Alligator mississippiensis: one gene and its partner. The protein of the gene in region 1 purifies or fractionates together with the protein of each later gene. This does not show direct contact. Links are inferred from orthologs where the notes say so. Each region holds a gene or a part of one and is shown in the gene's direction. Other genes may lie near its edges.

The links. The genes of interacting proteins can lie anywhere in the genome.
Region 2: the proteins of ELAVL1 (region 1) and IGF2BP1 purify together in Homo sapiens (co-immunoprecipitation; 3 studies listed by BioGRID and IntAct, with this or other methods). This does not show direct contact. The link is inferred for Alligator mississippiensis from reciprocal best matches to the Homo sapiens genes ELAVL1 and IGF2BP1.

The regions. Positions count from the first base shown.
Region 1 is NC_081839.1:9,481,697-9,492,116, forward strand, and holds the start of ELAVL1 (ELAV-like protein 1), read left to right. Parts: upstream 1-6,337; 5' UTR 6,338-6,445; intron 6,446-10,420. Other genes in the region: ZFR2 (zinc finger RNA-binding protein 2), read right to left, coding at 2,525-2,580. UniProt on the Homo sapiens protein: RNA-binding protein that binds to the 3'-UTR region of mRNAs and increases their stability.
Region 2 is NC_081827.1:168,520,573-168,530,218, forward strand, and holds the start of IGF2BP1 (insulin-like growth factor 2 mRNA-binding protein 1), read left to right. Parts: upstream 1-5,157; 5' UTR 5,158-5,622; coding exon 5,623-5,797; intron 5,798-7,148; coding exon 7,149-7,209; intron 7,210-9,646. UniProt on the Homo sapiens protein: RNA-binding factor that recruits target transcripts to cytoplasmic protein-RNA complexes (mRNPs). This transcript 'caging' into mRNPs allows mRNA transport and transient storage.

The DNA.
Region 1 (10,420 bases):
GAACATAACCAGTTCCTTGTGCTTTTTCATGGGGAACCGGCTATTTAATGGGAGACTGCCAATTATGCGATTTCCATGAAATCTGTGAAATCATGCATTTGGAAGGTCTCTACTCTGGAGTGATAATTTAGGGGATTTTGCTACTCTTCAAAAGCCTTCCTAGAATCCTCTCTCAGTGCCTTGTAGGGATGGACAAGTTAGCCCAAAATTCACTGGGAAAGAATTCATAGAATGGCTTGGCTCACTGCAGTGAGCTGGAAACCATTAGGTATGCCTCCAGAAATCAAACTACTAGAAGTGCACCAATAAAGATTTTCTTGATTGAGATACCGATGGCTGATTATTAACCAGCCATTTCGGCTGATACCAATTCAATAGTTGATTTACTGGAATGCAGCCCGGCAGTTTGGAGAAGTGCCCAGCTGGTAAGTCTGTGGAGGGTGAAGGGGCAGGGCGGAGGGAAGAGCATGGGGGGTGCAGATCAAGGCACCTATGGTGACAGACAGAGGCAGGGACAGGGGCTGCTCAGCCAGGACCCTAAGATGAGGCGGGGTGCAGGGCAGACCTGTGGGTGGCTCATCAGGCCCATGGGAGGCAGCTCCCTGCATCTGCATGCACCCCTGGAAAGGTATGGGGGGGGCATGTGCCCCCCAGATGTGTGCAGGGCAAGGGCAGGCTGCGCACTGTGGGTGGCAATGGCACTGTGAGGGGTGGCTACAGGGTGGTATATAGCCACCCCTCCCAGCACCATCCACCCACCCCGCCCCTGCCCAGCCTCCCTTCCACTGGGAAGAAGCCAGCACAGCCCTTGGCCCCAAGCCTGCAGCAGGCAGCTTGTCCTATGCACAAGTCTAGGGGGGCCACATGCCCCCCATTCCTCTCCCAGGGGACTGTGTGACAGGGAGCCCCCCTCCCAAGACAAGTCACCTGCTGATCTGCCCTGCATCGCGCTCCGTCCCAGGGTTGCATTCACCACCCTGGCTGGGCAACATCTGCCCCTGCCTAAGCCCCTCCCTCACCATGGGGGGCCCCCCCATCTGCTCCCCCCCACACCCCTTCCTCTCCACAGACTTACCAGCCAGACACTGCTCTCCAAGCTGCTGGGCTGCACTCCTGGCCACATGCACGCATGCACGGGGAATTTACAGGTGACGTTCTTTGTTATACTGGCCAAAAAAACCCAACTACCGATAATGTTAATTTTCCTTTTACCATTGCTGATCTGATATGCCACCAATACATCAATGCACCTCTAAAAAAATACTACATACAAACGAATGCAACCTCACTGTGAGCATAGCAACTTGATTTATTTTAGTAAGCTAATTTGAAAGAAATAACTGGAGTTACTAAGTGGGGTTTAACTCTGCAGCGAAGACGTACTTTTGCAAGAGAAACCATGAGGTAGCGCGAGAGTTTTACTTATAGGAAGCAGGAAAAGGGAATTCCTGGAGGAGACAACGCATCTCAGGAAAATGACGAGGTGAGATCTTGGAGAAAGGGATGAGAGGGTAGAAGTAATGAAAACACTATGGAAACGGAAAAGGGAATTGCTAAAAGAAAGCAGGGAATATAGTTATCATTAGAAGGAACGGACAAAAGGATCCTTTGACAAGGGACGTCCAAGGGAAGGTGGATGACAGAGAAGAGATTAAGTAAAATCCTTAACAGCAGGCCTGAAGCATCACCGGAACAGGCAGCAACCCACAGTAATGGAAGCCTTAGAGAAAATGGAGCGTACAAGGAACAAAAGGGAAGCAAATGGGGTACTTGGAAGGACATACAGCACCCCAAGAAAGTGAAGTAGATAGAGAAGTGAGCAACCCAGGAAGAAAAAAGAAGTGAACAGTAAAAGATGACGAGTGCAGTGGGAGGGAGGAGAATAAGGGAGAGAAACATCATTCAGAAAAGCAATAAAACATGCAGCCCGAGGGAACCCTGGAAAAGGCAAGATGACAGCGGCCAGGGTGCGCTCCCGGGCTGAAACAGAGGATTCTTTTGGGGGGGATGTAGTGGAGGGCAAAGAAATCCAGGAAGAGCACGGGAGCAAATCCTCATAGGCAGCAAGCCTAGGGAGACACGGAGAGGACCGACGGTGCTGGAGCATGACGCAGGCACCGAAATCCGCTCTCCAGGGATGATGGAGAAGAAGGGATCCGGCAGGTGTAGCCTCCAGCCTCGGTGCGGAAGAAGCCGGGAGCCCCAGCGGCTGCGGGGACCGAGGCATCCCGGCGCGGGACGGAGGGCACCCGAGGGGCGGGGAAGGAGGCAGGGGGAGGACGACGACAAGTAGAGCCGCGGAGGCAGCGGGCGGGCAGCAGGAAGCGGGCACCGCGGCCGGGCTCTGAGGAGGAGGCGGGGAGCGGCGCAGGCGGACGAGGAGCCACGGGCGCTCGGCAGGGGCGGGTCAATCTCGCCCCGGGCTTCCCCGCGCGGCTCGCCGCTGCGCCCCACACCCACCTCCCGCCACCCGGGCCGGCCCCGAGCAAAGCAGCGGGGCGGAGCTGGGGCGCGGCCCCGTTACCTGTACTGCGGCCCGGCGGCGCCGTGAGGGAAGCTGTAGTAGTTGCTGGCCGCCATCTTGGCGTCCTCACAGCCCGGCAGCGCACGAGGCCACGTGACTCCGAGCGGGCCCCGCCCCCCGCGCGTGCGGCCGGAAGCGTGGTCACGTGGGGCCCTGCGCGGTGGCGCAAGCCCGGCTCGTCACGCGGCCGCTTGGCGCCCCCTGGCGGCTTCCCCGGGCGGCGGTCCCTGCGCGCCCAGCCGCATGGGAGCCTGTCCTGTCCCCGCCGCACCCGATAGAAACCGGCGGGAGAGCTCTCGAGCAGCGGCTTCATGACTGGTTGCCTCTTTCTACAGCTGGATAGACATTTTGATGGTGTGATAAGGACTTTTTGCATGCGTGGGAGGACCAGATTTATTGCACGATTAACTGGTTAATTGCATGATAATTAGTGTGCACTTGTGGCCTGTCTAAATTTACTGTGCGAGTAACTCGTTAATTGTGCAATGCATGTAACATGGAGCAGGGCCCTAGAGCTCTGCCCAGCATCGTTTCAATGTGAAGCCAGTGTGCATCTTCCAGTGCACTGCACTTTCCAAAGACAGACAAGTTTCTTTGAATAAATCTGGTATCTTTTATTACACCAACTCAGTTGGGCTTATAAAAAATACCAAATTTACCCAAATAACTTTGTCTGCCTATGTTCTTAGACCAACACGGCTACGACCAACACCCCTTTCACTCTCCAGTGTTACAGCCTCATTACCCAGTCTTAAACGTCATGGTGTTGCTGAAGTGTCATAGGAACATGACAAGGAAAGGACCTTCTGGTTCCAGTGCCAGGCTACGTTCAGGCATCCATGTCAAATAATCCTATGAATAGGTTGATCAAGGCTCAAGAAAATCCTCCACATCAAATGGGAAGACAGCCACACAAACACCAATATTTTTGCTGAAACCAGTTACCAGCCACGAGCTGGCGATCCTCAAGCACCAGCCGTGCTGAATTGGATGTGTGCAGATGTCTGACTCCTGACTCCCAAAACAAGTGCTCTACTCCCAGTTTAGCTATAGCCTGAGCTCTTGTGGCCAGAGGAAATGGTACCAGGACACATTCAAGGCAGACCACAAGAAAACAGATGCCAACATCAAGAGCTGGGAAAAGCTGGGTGCCAACTCACTCCAATGGCACTGGAACCTCAACCAAGTGGCAGCCAATTCTGAGGTAAAACGCCTTGCTCTCAAAGCACGGGAGAGAGAGCAGGGGAAGGAAAATGAGTGAAATCCCAGCGTACATCCAACTCCGCCCTGCAGAAAGACCTGCAACTTCTGTGGACGGATCTGTGGCTCAAGGATTGAACACTTATGTCAACTCAAGATCCATCAGTAAGATGTGGTAAAGATCATCCTCAAATCAAGGGATTGCCAACAACATTCATCAAGCTCCATTTTAAAACTAGTTAGGTATTTTGCCTCCACTACTCATATTGGAAGGCTCTTCTAGAATCTCACTCTGATGCTTATAAGTCTTCTAATTTCCAGCCTAAATTTATTCAAGCCACACTGTCCCCATTTGTTATTATGCCAACCTTGTCCATTACCTTAAACAGCTCCCTTCCCTTCCTAAATTCTCCTATAATGTATTTATAGAGAGCAGTCATGTTCTCAATTTTCTTAAAATATCAATACAATATGATTTAATTGCACCAAAAATAATTCATGCTCCATATGCCAACATACTAGACTCAATGTGTTTTATGATGTGCTAAATGTCACCACACTGCATCATCATGGTAGCACTGTGCCAATGAGCATCACATTTTTTGATTCCATATCATAATGCAACATGAAAGCACTACACAGATGTGTCAGTATGTTGAATCAAAACATCATGACAGATCTAAGACACTGCAGTAATATAACACCACACTTTAAAAAAAGCATAAATCAAAAGTGCTGCTGCTTCAAATCATCACAACTTTACACAACAACGGTTTTCTTGCACTGCAACTGAATATATGCTTGTGTTATGAAGTGATGCCATGGCATAAAAATGTCACGTGGTAAAACAGGACAAAGACTCAGTATGGCCTCACTCTGAGCTGAAGTTTGGACTTCAAGGGCTCAGAGGGTTTTGGAGACTGAAAGGGTTTTAAGACACCCATGACCTTTCTAGAGACAGTTGTGAGGATTAAACTCAGTATTATTTGAGAAAACCCAAGACTGGTGATAACAGAAGGCTGCCATCATATGAGTGAGAAAACTGTAACATGATAGCTGGCAAACAGCAAATTCAGGCGATGGCAGGTGTCCAAATATCTTCAGTATTTTCACAAAGCCTCTATATCAGGATCAGCCAGGTTTGAAATGTACATCATGTGGAGCCTTCCCAAGGTAACCGTGAGGAAGAAGAGTCAGGCTAATGTAATGTCATGGCTTCCCTCCCCTAATGGTTAGTCTTTTTTACTAAAGCTGGTATGAAGCTGCCTCTCAATACTTTCTACATGATCAGGTGTCCCCCCAGCCTGTGACAGAGATGGGGCTGCTCCAAATGCCAGTGTCATGTCCGCAAACTGGAAATTAGAATAGCCCCAAATTTACGGGCCATTAGAACATGACTAGTTGAATAGGATTCACTGGGCAACCAGCAAACTAAGTATTCATGAGTCCAGAAGTGCCAAACAAAACCATTGGCATTAATAAAGTTGAAATCTATTAAAACTCAAGATGGCTTGAAGAAAATTATTTGCATTTTCAGTTTCTGATTTTTCATGTATTCCAAAATAATGACAATTTATGGGCAGTCCACATACAGATACAGGGATGGATGACAGCAAACACATCTGTATGTGTGATCATATCACCTCAATTGTATACCTTTGGCAGATCCAAATTTACCTGCATTCCACCAAAAAGCGTTAGCTCACATTTACAGCTGCGACGTATATTATTATTAAATACAGAATCATACATTTGCGCTTGCGTAACATTTACTGTAAAGAAAAATATCTCACAAAAATTGAAGAAAAAATCATTTTCTGATGTCCTTTATCTTGAGTTTTATCCTGTCCATTTCTTTACGTCAAGGAAGAGCATTTCCAGGCATTTTCCTTTTTAGATTTCAACCCGTACTGCCTTATTGTGCTGAAAATAGCAGCCACGGAGAGTGAGGGGCGTTTCGTTCCATCCCTGCAGATGGAAGTGGGATTGAATGCTTGACGGGAAGGGACGTGGAAGGGATTTTACAAACCCGCCCCTATGAAAAATGGATTGTTTGGGGCGCCCATGGATTATCTCTGGCCAAAAATGTCCTTTTGTTTGACAGAGAGGAAGGGCCAACAAGTGTGAATGGTGCCAACTACCACCCCCAAGCTGGGCCTTGCTGCTCGTCACCACTACAACGCGTGTCTCCTGCCCTCCAGGCCCTGCGGGCAAACCTCCCGCGATGCCAACCCCAGCCCCGCAGGAAAGAAACCCTGGCGCCTGCAAGGCCGTTCCGCCGGCTCCACCTCGCACTTTGCCTCACGAGGTGGACAAGGAAGAGGTGCCTCGTCCAGCCCCCACGGAGCGCTGACACCAGGGGCTCCCGGGCGCGCTGGTGCCCCGCGAGGCCGGCGGGGGTGCTGCACGCAGCCCAGGGAACGATGCGGCCTGGCCTAGCGAGGAAGCCCCGCGGGGCAAGTCTCCGCCCGCCCGCGCCGGGGATGGAGGGAGGACTGAGGATGGGGGACTCCGGACCCCCTCCCCCCCACCGGGAGGTTCCGCCTCCGGTCCGCAAGTGACGGGCGGGCGGCCGCTCCAATGGCTCCTCTGGCACGTGGGCCGCGCAGCCAATGGGGCTCGGCGGGCGGGGCGGGGGCGTGGCCAGCGGCGCTGCGAGCGGCTTGTTGTGCGCTGCGGAGCCGTTCGTGCTGCTTCCAGGCCCCGCCGGAGTCCTGACGGGTGAGGCAGGCGGGCGGCCCGGGCGGGTGCGCGCGCGGGAGGCCGGTGCTGAGGCGCGGGGGCAGCCGGGCCGGGCCTGCCACCGCCGCCGCTGGGGGAGCAGCGGGACGCGACGGGCGGCGCGGCCTGCGCCTGGGCCTGGGGCGGCGGAGCCGGGGCCTGGGGCGGCGGCGGGCGCGCGGCAGGGCCCGGCGCTGCGGGGAGCGGAGCGAGGCGCGGGCCGGCCGAGGCCTGCCTGGGGCCTGCTGCGCTTGCGCGGGCGCCGCGGGAAGGCGCCGTGCCGCGGCGGCGACTCGCTGCTTTTTGTCCCCATCGCGCTTCTGCCCTGAGCCGCCCCCGGCCCGGCCCGGCCCGGCCCGGCCCGGCCCGGCCCGGCCCAGAGCAGAGCGGCGCGGCGCGGCGCGGCGCCGGGCGGGGTTTGTCCGGGCGGGCGAGCCTGGCGCGCGGCTCCCTCGTGCGAGGCCGGGGGGCCGGGCACCGGCGGGGAGGCACGTGTGCGGGAGGAGGCGGGATGTCCGTGTAGGCCCCGCGGATCGCAATGGAGAGAAAGAAACGGCAGAGCACAGCATCACCGGCGGACTCGAGCACGGCCTGTTTTCCCGGGTGTTGCTGCTGCTGGCACAGGCGGTCACTGGTTGTGCTGGGGCTTGTCACCCCTCCTTCTCCTCTTCCATCTACCTGCCCTAACGGGTGGTGGCTTCCGATTTTCTAGGCAGAGTTGATTTTGACTTCAAACGGCTTCATCCTCGCCGCCCGCTCGCACCTTTCCGTCCGCTCCGGTTTTGACGACTTCTAGCTTCTCTGACCAGACTTGCCGTGGCTGTGGCATTTCCCTGTCTAGCCTGGCTGTCTCTGGTGTTTTGTTTTGGGGTGTCCCACTGCCATTTCAAGCTGTTTCTCTAAAACTGAACTGCTTTGGGTGTTGGTGCTATTGGTCCGTACGCCCTGCGTTCCATGTGTGGGGATGGCAGCAGTCTGTTCAAAATATAATCCTTTCTGTGTGCACCAACAGTTGTACTTTTATTGTGTTCTTTGCGTGACCTTTTACTGTACTCCTCTGACCCTCTTTTGCTTTTTTTGGCAAGACCTTGTTGTTTCTTTTTTAACTTAAGCTTAGCCTGTATTATTGGTTTGTCCTTATCTTGGTCACTTCTCACCTTTACCTGTGGTAGCAACTTATTTAGTCTCCTGTTCTTTTCTCTCTTCTCTCACCAACTGCACTAGTTACTGCTGCATATATTTGCCTTTTCTGTAACTATATTTTGAGTCTGATCTGTGGTTTCCTGTCTCCGTGCACATAAAATGCATGAATTAGGCACATAATCATCATTGAAATCTCTGTGCAGCCTTTCCTCTTCCATCGCTACATTAAATCTACTTTGTTTCCCATCTTCTTGCCTTATTCCTTTGGGGCTTTGTTTTTCTCCCCTCCCCTCATTTTGAATTTTTATACCTTCTGTTACTTTTACTTTCTGCAGCTAAACTGACCACCTTGTCTCCGTCTATAGAACCATGCCCCTTTTCTTTTAAAGCCTGTCCCTTGAAAGCAAGTTCACCAGCCTGTGCCCTCTTTTTTCCGCAGGGGTGATGGTTTTTACGTAGCTATCTGATTTCAGGTGCAAGGCCTTCTGGGGTAAAGCTATCTTATAACACGTTAGTAGGACTGAAATGAAGGTTGTATCAAAACAAACATTTAGTTTTGAGAGACCTTTATTGTCTCTGAGGCTCAGACTATTTGGTAGTTATAGAAAACTTTTACAGCTTGTTCATGCTTGGAAATGTCCCAAAGCAGGTATTCTGAAACAGCTGTTTATGTACATTTTGTAGTGTAGATAAATTGTAAAAATAGAAGTCATTCTGAGTTTCCCTCTAACTTTGAGGGTTTCAATCTACTGGCATATGGAATTCCAGGATAAGATAAATTTTTCCTTTCTGAAATTTAAGTTGGGTAGCTCTCCTGTGTCTTGGAACTTAGGGGTGCATGACCTTAGTATGTAGAAGCACCAGGGTGTTGGTGCTACTCATGTATGTACATGTGGGGAGAGTTGTATCATTGGATTTAACTGATGTGTACAAAACCTATTAAAAAAGTTATTGCCTTTAACTTGTTTCAGGTATACCGTAAAAGTTAGGACTGTGATAATGTTCACTGACTCTGGTCCCTCCTTGTTTTATAAAAGGAGAAAGGGTTAAGTTACAATTCCTTTCTTTCCTTGGTCTTCTGAGGAGAGGGTTAGGAAGCTCCACTCTCTACTCAGTCTGGTGGTTAACAGGCCATCTTCTAGAGACTGAACAAGCTGGCATCTCCATTCTGTTCTGCTTTTGCTTGCTGTCACCTTCTCTGTACATTACAAATCCGATCAACAGCACTTGATCTACTGAAATGAGAGTGTAGACAACAGCCAATTCTTGGCTCTGTACAGCTGGGAATTACAGTTCTTGCCAGAGGTGGGTCTGAGGACCCCATGGTCCACATCTGGCCCAGGAAGCCAAACCAGTTTGATACCCTTGGCTTAGACCATGATTGCAGAATTCCAAGCTGGTCCCATGTACTCTCGTTACTCAGAGGGGATTTGGGGAGAGTGCCGTGACCTTTCATCTGTTGAAACAGCTTTGGAGAGGTAAGGATGGCATTTATGGTAGCTTCCATTCTGTCCCTTGTCCTGGCCCTTAGTGTTGTTAATTCCACTCTGAATGAACTGGTTGTAATTTGTCTCACTGCTGGCAAAATTAAGAAAAACATTCTTCTCCAGGGCAGTTATCTTTGTTTGCTAAGCTAAAGATTACGTGTCAGACCCGGAAACTGATAGAGGTTTCAGCCTTCTTGTAACCTTTCTGGAGGGGGTGGTATAAGCATTTACATGGTAGAAAAATAAAGCTGAGTGTATAAGAATGATACTTTAAATGTCTTTCTTTAAAATTGTGTCATATATACACAAAAGCATAAACTTATTTTACTAATTTAAACTAAAATAGAAGTATAGTAAGATTTTGCCAGCAAACATCTACTACTTAGACCACTGAAATGGTGGGAGTCGAGTACCTGAGACTAGAGTTCATTGATATGCCGAACCTACTTTTGCCAGTAGTCACCTCTTCTGGGGGTTTTGATGTTTTGAGGCCAAACAAATATGGTGCATATATTGTGAGTACTTGAGGTGCATTTTGTTGGAGACTGAGTGAGAGCAGATAATGGGATGTATGAGCCTTAAACAAAGATCCCAAAGGTCATTTTCTCACTTTTTAAAAAATGTGCGAGTGGATGTGCTAGCTTGAAGTTTTCTCTTGCTCATAATCTTGTTAGTTTATTAAAAAAAAAAAAAAAAAAAAAGCTTTGGAATTAATGATACTGTAAATGATTTCTGTCTAAATTACTTTCCATTCATTTTTAGGTCTCAGTCAGCATTCCTGGAATGCTAGGGGGAAAGTAGGGATGGGAGAGCCTGAAAACATGATGGAGAGTATATGCAAGGGAGAATTTGTGCCTGGAGAAGAATGAAATACAGTGTGTTTTCAGGGCCTTAGACAGATGCTGGTTTTTGCTGCAATTTATAGAAGCTTGGCAGAACATGAAGCTCTGGTGTTGGGTTTGTGGTGAAAAGGGGGATGTTTGGGGTGATAGCACTTGTTGGGCTTTGCACTTTCTCTAGCTCTTGCATCTCAGGAAAGTCTCATAAGTTTTGAAGTAGTGGAGATGAGATTATTCTGGCCGTGTTTTTTTTTGTCATGATCTGAGACCCTAGGTGTTTGGGCTACAAAAGCAACTCTGTTTTTCTGTTTTTATTGAGAGGGTCTCCTACCTTTATCTGTAGCACTCTTATAATAGTGAGTTGTTGGGATAAGTTCTGCAGGCTTTCCTCAGCAAGGGAAGAACCACCATATGTGAAGTTAGTTGATCAGGCATGTACTTCAGTATACAAAATATGGCAAAAGAAAACAGTGTTGAAATATTACTCTTTATTTTACTTCGTGCTC
Region 2 (9,646 bases), on another chromosome or scaffold:
ATTTGGATCTCACACATCTCACACTTAAGTGCCCTTTCACAGAGGGAAAAGTGTATTTTTGATCTTTTACTGTGGTATCCTGAATGCTTTATTCCTGTGTTTTGACACAACGTTACTTAAATACATAGATTTTATTTAAAGATGTTCACAGAATCAGTGGAAATTAAGCTAATTCACATCTCTATTTGGTTCTCAAATCTAACTAATCATTTCAGAATTAATTTTATTTTGAACAACTTCATCAGAACCAGCTGAAATCAGCTGAATCGTCTGAGATGAGAACTAGTCATGAATACTTTTGATGTAATATATAACATTGAACAAAAGGTAGTTTAAGCTGTGGTTCTAGTTATAATAAAATGAAATACATTATAGTGTTCCTTCTTCCTTTCAATTTGAATTGTCTCCCAAACATTATGACTACACATGCCTTGTATTCAGATTAATGTTAAGAGTTGACCTATAATTGAAATGGATCATTTCAATTAATATAATTTAAATGGATCATTTTTAAAAACAAAAAACCTTATTTCTGTGCTTTATATACTTTAGATGTTATTCAAGACTCTCAGCACATATTTGTTAGGTGTTACTAAACACATACTTTCAAACTTGCTGATTTAGATTTTTCAGAATTCTAAGTGTTTTTGAAACTATATTAATCTTACACAAACAAAATTAATTCCTTTATCAACAACTGGAAAATTAAATGAAGGAATGTAGAGAAATTTCTGTTTTTAACTAATTCTTGTTTGCTACCAGTGTACCATAAAGGTGATTTCAAGCACAAATAATTTATTGTTGTTAATCTGAAACAGAAAATAGTAGACTAATTATATTTTCTCATATTAACCCCATATTTTGCTGAAATCCCATGAGTCTTTTTTGCCAGCTCTTTCAATTCTCCTCCCAAAGGAATTTTTCTAAAAGTTTAAGAAATATTTGATATTTGTACTGGAAAATACATTGTAAAAATTCAACAAGAATCAATTTTTTGCCTGATCAGAAGATGTCAGTATAAAGATAAGGCTTTTACTAAACCATAAGCAAAAACTGCAAGCTGATGTAAAAGAAAAAGACGTACAAATTTTCCCTCAATTTAATGTCCAACCAATATACAAAAAAAGCAACTCTTCAAAGTGACTTTAAAAGTGCAACTTTGTTTAGAGAAATACTGAAAAAGGCCACAAACTTATTGATAAAACTAGTGCTGCTATTCATCTAATAAAAACTGTTGCTTATCATAGCATTTTCATTAACATTTCCCTTTTGGATTTTTGTTGCAATTGGTAACAGCTTTTAACTTTCCAAAAGCAAAAAATATTTCCCACTATAGGTTTTGTGTGTTTTGGGGGTGGGGAGGCTGGGTTGGGGGCAGGGGGGAAAGGAATTTTTCCTACAAGATACTCAGTTGGGATATGGAAGAATTAAGAATCAAGTTTAAAATGGTGTGACAGTCTTCTCTCACCATCTTCTTTAAGTGAATGAATACAGGTCTATTTTCCCCCCAAGTAGATCAATGATTTAACTGCTTCTTCTGTTTGCATTCTCTAAATACCTTGCATCTGGAATGCTCCAAGGGGAAGTCGTTTGACTGATACTCTTTCTTGTTTCAAATCTAAATTGAAGACTTCCCTCTTTGTTTGGATTGTTTTTAAGACTGGTTTCCTTAACTTAATTATTGCAAAGATTCTGAAACATGAAGAGTGGTCCCTGTAAATTAATAAACTATAACAAAAGTATTGTACCAAGTTTTGCTATAGATCTAAACCAAGCAGTGATCAAAACAACTCATTTATTTAGACTTGGGCACATTTGTCCACGGCATATTTCCGTGTGTGTAAATAGGTGAGCATTGCAGTTTTCAATTTAGTTGCAGAGAAGATTTGAAAGGCATTTTCTCTGCAATAGTAAGTTTCTTTAGAAATTTCAGAGCTCTGTTCTTTTCACCTGTAAATTTCAGGCTCGAATTACAAACTGAATGCCTCAGTAACATGAATATGGCCACAGCAGTTCCCTGCAAAGACTGCTCTGGTGAATTTAGTTTGGGACTTTAACAAGAGGTAGTAAGGGCAGCTAGGAGGTTGGTAACAAAACTTCTTGTGGTGAACAGCATCTGCATGTTTTTTTTTAAATCAGGGACCACAAGAAAATAGAAACTGGTTAGTATGCAGTGAAAAGCACAAATAATTTATCGTCTTAGAATCTTTAAAAAAAAAGATACTTCTCAATTCTCTTTAAGTTCTTAACTATCAGTGGCATCCAACACACACACTTTGTTAGCTGTAAGTGTAAATCACAGGAAATGAACACAACTTGAGTGGTTTAAACTTTATTTACTAACAAACCGTGAAAGCAATCTTTAATACAACCCCCCCCCCAACTATTTAGAAACATTTTAGAAATTAATTAATGTAAATATGGAACCACATTTGAGGGATAACCAAATCACCCTGGAGTGTATGTTAGTAGTGCATGTATCATTTTAGTGTCCAGAAAAAATCAAGCCAGAAGCCAAACACAAAAATCAAGCCTCCAAATAAGTACTTAGAAGAAATTTACTACCCTGCAGAAGGGTTACCAAGGGGAAAGGAAATGTAAAGTTAGCTTGTATATCAACGTTTCTGACCGATTAAAATAATACAGAAAATCCTTAACTAAGCAGTTTCCAGTTGAGTTTTACTGGAGGAGTTAAAACAGCTACAATGTTACTCACATGTGACTAGATTTCTTTCGAAACAGAATCAACAATAACAACAAAATCTCTATCTGTATCCTCTGGTGGAAAAAACAAACCAACCACGTGTTAGTAAATGTTACTGGGAACTACTGTAGTTAAATACAATAAAGGGAAGAAATGTGTCTATACTAATATTGGGAGTTTATAAACCATGTGTTGACTGTCCAGAATGTATTAATAACCCATCGGAAAAGGACCACAGGCTTTTTTTCCCCTTTTCTTTTCTTGAATGTCCATTTCAAGCAGTTGTGCTTGGGGGCTTACAAAGTCCAGCTATCTGGGTGAAGAATTAGCATCAGCGCGGCCGGCCCCACTGCTCTGCAGCCTGCAATTGTGCATTATATTATTATGATGCTTATTCTTTAAATGCTGCACGTCTGAGAAAGATCCCAGGCAGAACTGCTCTGCTCCTACTTTGCCCAATCCTCAGACATGAACAACCTGCTGCGGGAACTCGCAGCCCCTCCACGGGTAACGCGGCACAAGCAGCCTGCAAAGAAATCGGTTTATTCCAGCCGGTTAGAAACACTCTCACACACCATTTGGCCAACAGATTCCAGTGGGCTCCCCCGCCCCTTCCCCTGCAGCACAAACCACCAAGCTCCCAGTTGTACTGGGGAGGCATCAAGTAGGCTAGATCCCAGCTCAGGGAAAGGAAAGGGCCAAAGTTTTGCTTTTCTTGGGACAACTGGTGCCTCTTCGGGGACGTCTTCTCTGCTGCCTCTGGAAAGGGATTGTCAATGATTCCTTCACAGCCCCCCCCCGCACTCCCTCCCACCCACCCTCCTTCCTTCCTTCCTCCCTCCCCCTATGGATTTCCCTTCTTCCCCTGCTTTAATGACTGAGCTGACCTCAGAACAGGCTATTCTAGGAGCCGAAAGAGATCCACCCAGCGCAGGGACTGAGCTCACGAGATCATGGACTCTTCCCCTTGCCACACACCCCGGGAGACAATGAAGGCTTGCAATCCCCTTCCCCAGCCCTCTTCTACAAGGAGGGGGGGGGGGGCCGTTGCCATGGGGGGGAGGGGTTAGCACTTTGGCGCTGAACCCCGCACTCCCCCCCCTTCCATTCATGAAATCCAGCCTGCGCTCCTCGTGACCCAATGGACCCAAGTGGATACTCTGGGCCCCCCCCCCCGCTTCTTTAGAGGGGGAGGTTTTTTTTCTCCCCCCCCGCTCCCCACTGGAGGATGGGGAAGGAGGGACATGTGGCTAATTTTACACCGATCGCGAGCCTAAAAATAAAAGTCTCCCGAAAAGGCAGGCTGAGAATAGAGGCACTGCAAGAAGGGGGGGTGGGTGTGTGTGTGTGTGTAGAGTGGGGGAGGGTCCAGCCAGGCGGGTGTCCATTGCCGTGCACCGAATCGTAGCCGAGCCGCGAAGGGCAAGACCCGGGGGGTCCCGTCCAGCCGCGGCCACGAGCTGCAGGATGGCTCTGCGCCGGGCGCGGCTCCAGCCCCTGCCCCAAAGCCCGGCGCGGTGGGGGGGGCAGCCCAGAGCAAACCCTGCCCCTGGGGGAGCGGAGAGATCTGGGCACGGCTCCGCTCCTCTCCCCCCAGCACACACACGCACAGGGGAGCAGAGCGCCCTGCCATGCCAAAGTGTGCGCTGTGCGAGTGGGAAAGGGCTTCATTCATCCTTCCCTCGACAACGTGGTCTGGGCAAAAAAGGGGGCTGCGCCGTGCGGAGTTGCCGGAGCCCGATCTCCCTCCTTTGTGCCTTTTCTCCCTCCCCCCAGCCCAGCCACCACCTCCAGACTTGAGGGCTTCTGGTGGAAACAATGAGCGAGGGACACGTTTGCCGAGAGATCCCAGGGACCCATCCCAGCCCCAACCCCCCCACGAGCTGATCGATGCCTGGGTTTCATTGTTGTGCTCCCTTTTTCTTTATTGATCCCTGCACCCCACCCCGCGTGGTCCCAAACTGAAACTTCGCCTCTCTCGCCCAGCCCCACGGTGCGCCTGAATCCGCATTTCCTTTGATGAAGAAGTTTACACCCAGCAAAGGGAAGAAAAAAAAAAAGCCCATTCAAGCACTTGGAAGCCATGGGGGGAGGGGAAGCAAGAAGGGGAAGGGGAAGGGGGTGGGGGGAGCGCAGCCAGGATGGGGGTGGGTGGGTTTGATCGCGGAGGGAAGGCTGAGTTGGAAGAGGGCAGGGTGGTGGGGGCGGAGAGGGGGTGGGCTGGCATGAGGCCGGTGGAGAAGGCACCGAGACGTCAAGGCAGCCCAGGGGGGGAATGGTAAATAAAATAGTATTAAGGGGGAAAAAAAATAATAAGAAAAGGAATAAGCGAGGTGCCCACTCCCCCCGGCGGAGCGCGCCCCTCCTACTGCAGGGGCTGGTCCGTGTGCACGACCACGTGGCTTCCTCTTGCAAACATTTTCACTCATTTTTTCAGGTCGATTTTATTTAGAGGCGGTGCCAGGCAGGCTAAGAAACGTCCTGTGACATATGAGTGCGACTCAAAGGAGTTGGGGGGCTGAAAGAAAAGCGGCAGCACTTCCCCAGCCCGCCATACCAGTTGAACCAACCAACTCCCCCCATTGAGCCTGAAACAAGGAGAGCCAGCTCGGTCCCCCCCTCCCCCGGCCCCTCCCCGGCAGAAAAGCACACAACTTGCCTCCCCAGTTGGTGGACTCCAGTTGGAACTGGGAACTTTTTCTTGTCTTTCCTCTCGTCTCCCCCTCTCCTTTCTCTCCTTCCCCCTCCGGGGCTGAGCGGTGGCTTTTTTCCTCCCCCCCGCCCACCCCAACCCCGCTCATCTCTTCCGAGAGAGAGAAAGCAGAAAAGTTTCTCCCGCACTCTGCCACACCGCCCCCCCTCTCCCCTCTGACAGCCCCCCCGCCCCCCCACCGCCCTCCCCAGCTCCGGGAGCCACCATGAACAAGCTGTACATTGGGAACCTAAACGAAAACGTGACTCCAGCAGATTTGGAGAAAGTCTTCAATGACCACAAGATCTCCTTCAGTGGCCAGTTCCTGGTGAAATCTGGCTATGCCTTTGTGGATTGCCCTGATGAGCAATGGGCCATGAAAGCCATCGAAACTTTTTCTGGTAAGCAGATTATCTCTCTCTGTCTCCCCCCCCCTACGCCCCCCGGCCCCGCTCCCCCCGGCCCCCTCTCCTCCTGGGGCTGCAGCAGGAGCCGGAGCATCGCGACGGAAGAAAGGGATCCCGGCGGCGGCGTGGAGCGGGATCGCGGCCCCCTCCCACCCTCCTGCTCATGGTTCCCCGAGTTCGTCTCCCTGCTGAACGGCCACGGCCCTCCCATTCCGCGTCCATTCCCAGGGCCTCGCACGGATCCCCCCGGGGCTGGGGGAGGCCCCCCGGCCAAGTCACTCGGGGGGAACCTGGCCTCCCCGATCCACTCCCCCTGCCTTCCAAAACAGAGAAAGAAATACACGAAGAAGAAGAAACATAATAATCATAATAAAAAAGGAGAAGCCCTTGGGAAGGCGAAGGGCCAGACCGATCGCTCTCCTCCCTCCCCGGCCTGCAGCCTCCCCAGAGAGCACCCCCTCCTCGGCATGCGAGCCCCTGGACCCAGCACCCGGGCTGCCCCCTTCCTCCAGTGTGGGCGATCATTCCACCCCCCCCCAAATACCCGCCTCCCCTCCCCCCTTGCAAGCAGCACCAGGCCTTTGGGGTGCCCAGGCGCCTGGCCCTCCACTCTGCCCCCCACCCCAGGCCAGTGGGGCCCTGGCGAGTGTCGGGGTCCCATCGGCAGGAGGGGTGGTGGGCTTGGATCTTGGCCATTTTGATTTGAAACTGGGTTTCCTGGGGCATGTGATGTGTGTAGTAGCGCGAAGGTCGCCATGCTGTTCTCAGAGAGAGAGAGAGAAACTACTAGGGAAGCAAATACATTTTTGATTCTCCCAAGATCTCCCAAACTCCAATCCACACCCCCCACCCTATTTTCTCCCCCCAAAAGCAGCCGATCGCAGAGCACGTCTCTCCGTTTGCAAAGGGGAGGCCCATTTCTTCTCCTGAGTCGTATTTTATTATTATTGTTTTTAGCCCTTGCATGAGAAACGTGCCCCTAGGAGTCCTGGAAAAAATGATTTTTTTTGCCCCCCTTTTATTAATCTTAAAATGTAATTCCTTTTTTTTTTCTTTCTTTCTCTGGAGCATGCCTCTTCTCAATACACTGAGCAGTATGATAAGGAATTAAATGTTCCTGGGCAACATTGTCCTGGCAGCTACACACCACTCCCTCCCAGTCCTTCCCAGTTGGAGGCCAGTTTTATATTTAATAAAGTGCACTTGCAAAAGGACCAGAAAATGTATTTTTGTGTGCAGTCCAGCATCATTTGAATTAAAATGCAAGGTTTCACATGAGAGAATGTTATCCAAGTCTTTCTGACCCCCCACCCAGATTTAAAAAAAGGACACATTTTGTTTTTAGGGAAAGTGGAGCTACATGGAAAACAGCTAGAGATTGAACATTCAGTTCCTAAAAAGCAAAGGTAATACAGCATTTTAATTTCTTTTATTTTTTCCCTGTTGAAAAATAGCTAAGGTAATGATAAATAAAAATACCAGCCCAAATACGTGCATGTGAAATTAGATGTGATATAGAGGTTTGGGGGACTTGAGATGTGCCCCAAGCTAGGCACGAGTCAGTGCTGATCTTCTTTATGTGGGTTTTTTTACATTTATTTTTTAAAGTTACTTTGTAAGTAAGTTTTAAGAAATGATTACAAATGATGCAGTAGTTTACTCAAGGTGGTGTATGACTGAGATCTGTTTTTAGGTTTCCAATACATGTGAGGCCAGAAGTTCTCTCTCGCTCTCTTTTAAGCTGTATAGTTTCCAGTTAGTTTGATCACTTTTCTTTTTCTTTCTTTCTTTTTTGTTTTCAATTATAACATTTAATAAGGTAAATTTATTTTTTTTTAATAAGGACTTGTTTGAATATTTCATGCAGGGAGTGTATTTTAAATAAATTGCAGGGAGGGAACTGGTTGTACTGGAGAACTCTTACTGAGTGGTCTGTAATGATTTCACTTGCCTTATTTTTGCTTTAAACAGAAAAATAGAGTCTTTCTGTTTTTAAATGGATGCTATTTCTCCAGCTAGATTTTAAAGAAGCGTACAGTCGAGGTCTCCATGCCCTTGGCCTTTTGTTGAGGGATCCTCTTGTGTTAAGGAATTATTCTGGCTACAATGTAGATACTTTGCAGTTTAGGGGAAGATACCACACAGAGGAGGAGAAATCCCCAAATAATGAATGGCAATGGCTTTTTAGAAAAAAAAAAAGTATTTTCTCCACCTCATTGGGAGCAGGAGATTTGGCCCAAGATACAAATAGTCCACGTTGAATTCTAGCAGAATCTATAGTACACTTCATCCACGTGATCAGGCAGTTACTTCAGCAGCAGAGCAGAAGGGAGGTGGTGAAACAGATCATTTATTGCCTGTTTTCCCTTCTTTAGGATTGACAAAATATATCAACAAGGCACTAGTGACATCTTACAGGGAAAAGCTAGGCCTGAACCATTTGTTGGGCTTTTAAACTTTCTCACCAATTTGCTAGTTCAAGCCCAGGGGCTGAAAACTGGATCTTCTATAACACATTATAGGTTAATGAGACCCAGAAGGTTTAGCTCCAAACCAAAAATCTAATAATTTCTTATCAAATATTTTAGCAACAAGACCCATCTCATGTATATAGACAATCAATATTGCTTGTTACAGTGTTCAAAGACTTGCTGTGGTTTAAATATCAATTGAATGGAATGTTATTGGAAAGGCAATTACAGTATGAAAGGTAACATAATAAAATCGAAAAAGTCTGATTTTTTTTTTCCTTAGCACTGCTAGAAAAATCAATAGGTGAATACAGTAGATTTTGAGATATTTCTTAGTTCATTTATCCTAACCTTTTTTCATACTTTCTTAATAATAGCAAAGGAGAAATTATACTGAAAGGTAAACATTTCCTGACTGTGTATTTCAAACAAATTGTGATTTAAACTTTATAATAAGTGGAATCAAACTTAAGGTTAGTTAGCAGATTTCAGGGAGACACAGGAGAAATAAAATTAATTACATACAGATCCTAAATTCTATGGCGTGGTGTGTTTTTATAGTTATATATACCCCCATCTGCTTTCTTTAAAGCTACAGGAGCCATTTTTGATGTTGACTTTCTCCCTTAAAGTGTTTTATTTGAAGTAGCTTTATTAGTACAAGACTGTGATGTTTCTCAGGTTGGATACATTCATTTATCACTTGATTTTTTGATAAAGTTACACTGTCTTGATTTCCTAAGACAGACTTGTATTTCTGTTTTCTAAATGTGGCCTTAAAATGTTAATAGATTTAGGAAGTTAACTAAAAAAAAGAAAAAAAAATGTAAAATGATGATACACCATCTAATAAGATTATTTTTGTCTAAGAGTGAGGTGATGTTAGTGGCTGTGTTTCTAAGTGTTTCCTTTTTTCTGGTTGTTTTGGGACTGGATTTTCCAGTCGAAGGACATACAGAGCAGGAAATAGTTAATTAGGTATGATTAACAAGGATTCAGATGTTGTTAGTATAATTTTTAAAAAACCTGATGAGACACAAACTTTGAAGCATAGAAACTTAGAAAATGAAGCCACATTCACTCATGTGCTTTTCAGAGAGTTTTACAACTAAAATGTTGACTTGTTGCTTAGATCTCTTTTGTTACAAGAACTAAAACTGATAAATGCTAAATAAGACTAAAGTTGATGTGTTTTGGAAATTAATATATTTCAGGAAACTGCATATCACAGTTAGTTCTTTCTTGATTGTTTCTTTTCTTCTTATAAAATGTGTCTTCTCTTCTCATCCCTAACAAACATGAATTAAAATATTGAGAATGTGTCAGTGTTAGATGTGAGAGAATTGCTGGAGTACATTTGTGCAAAGTGTAA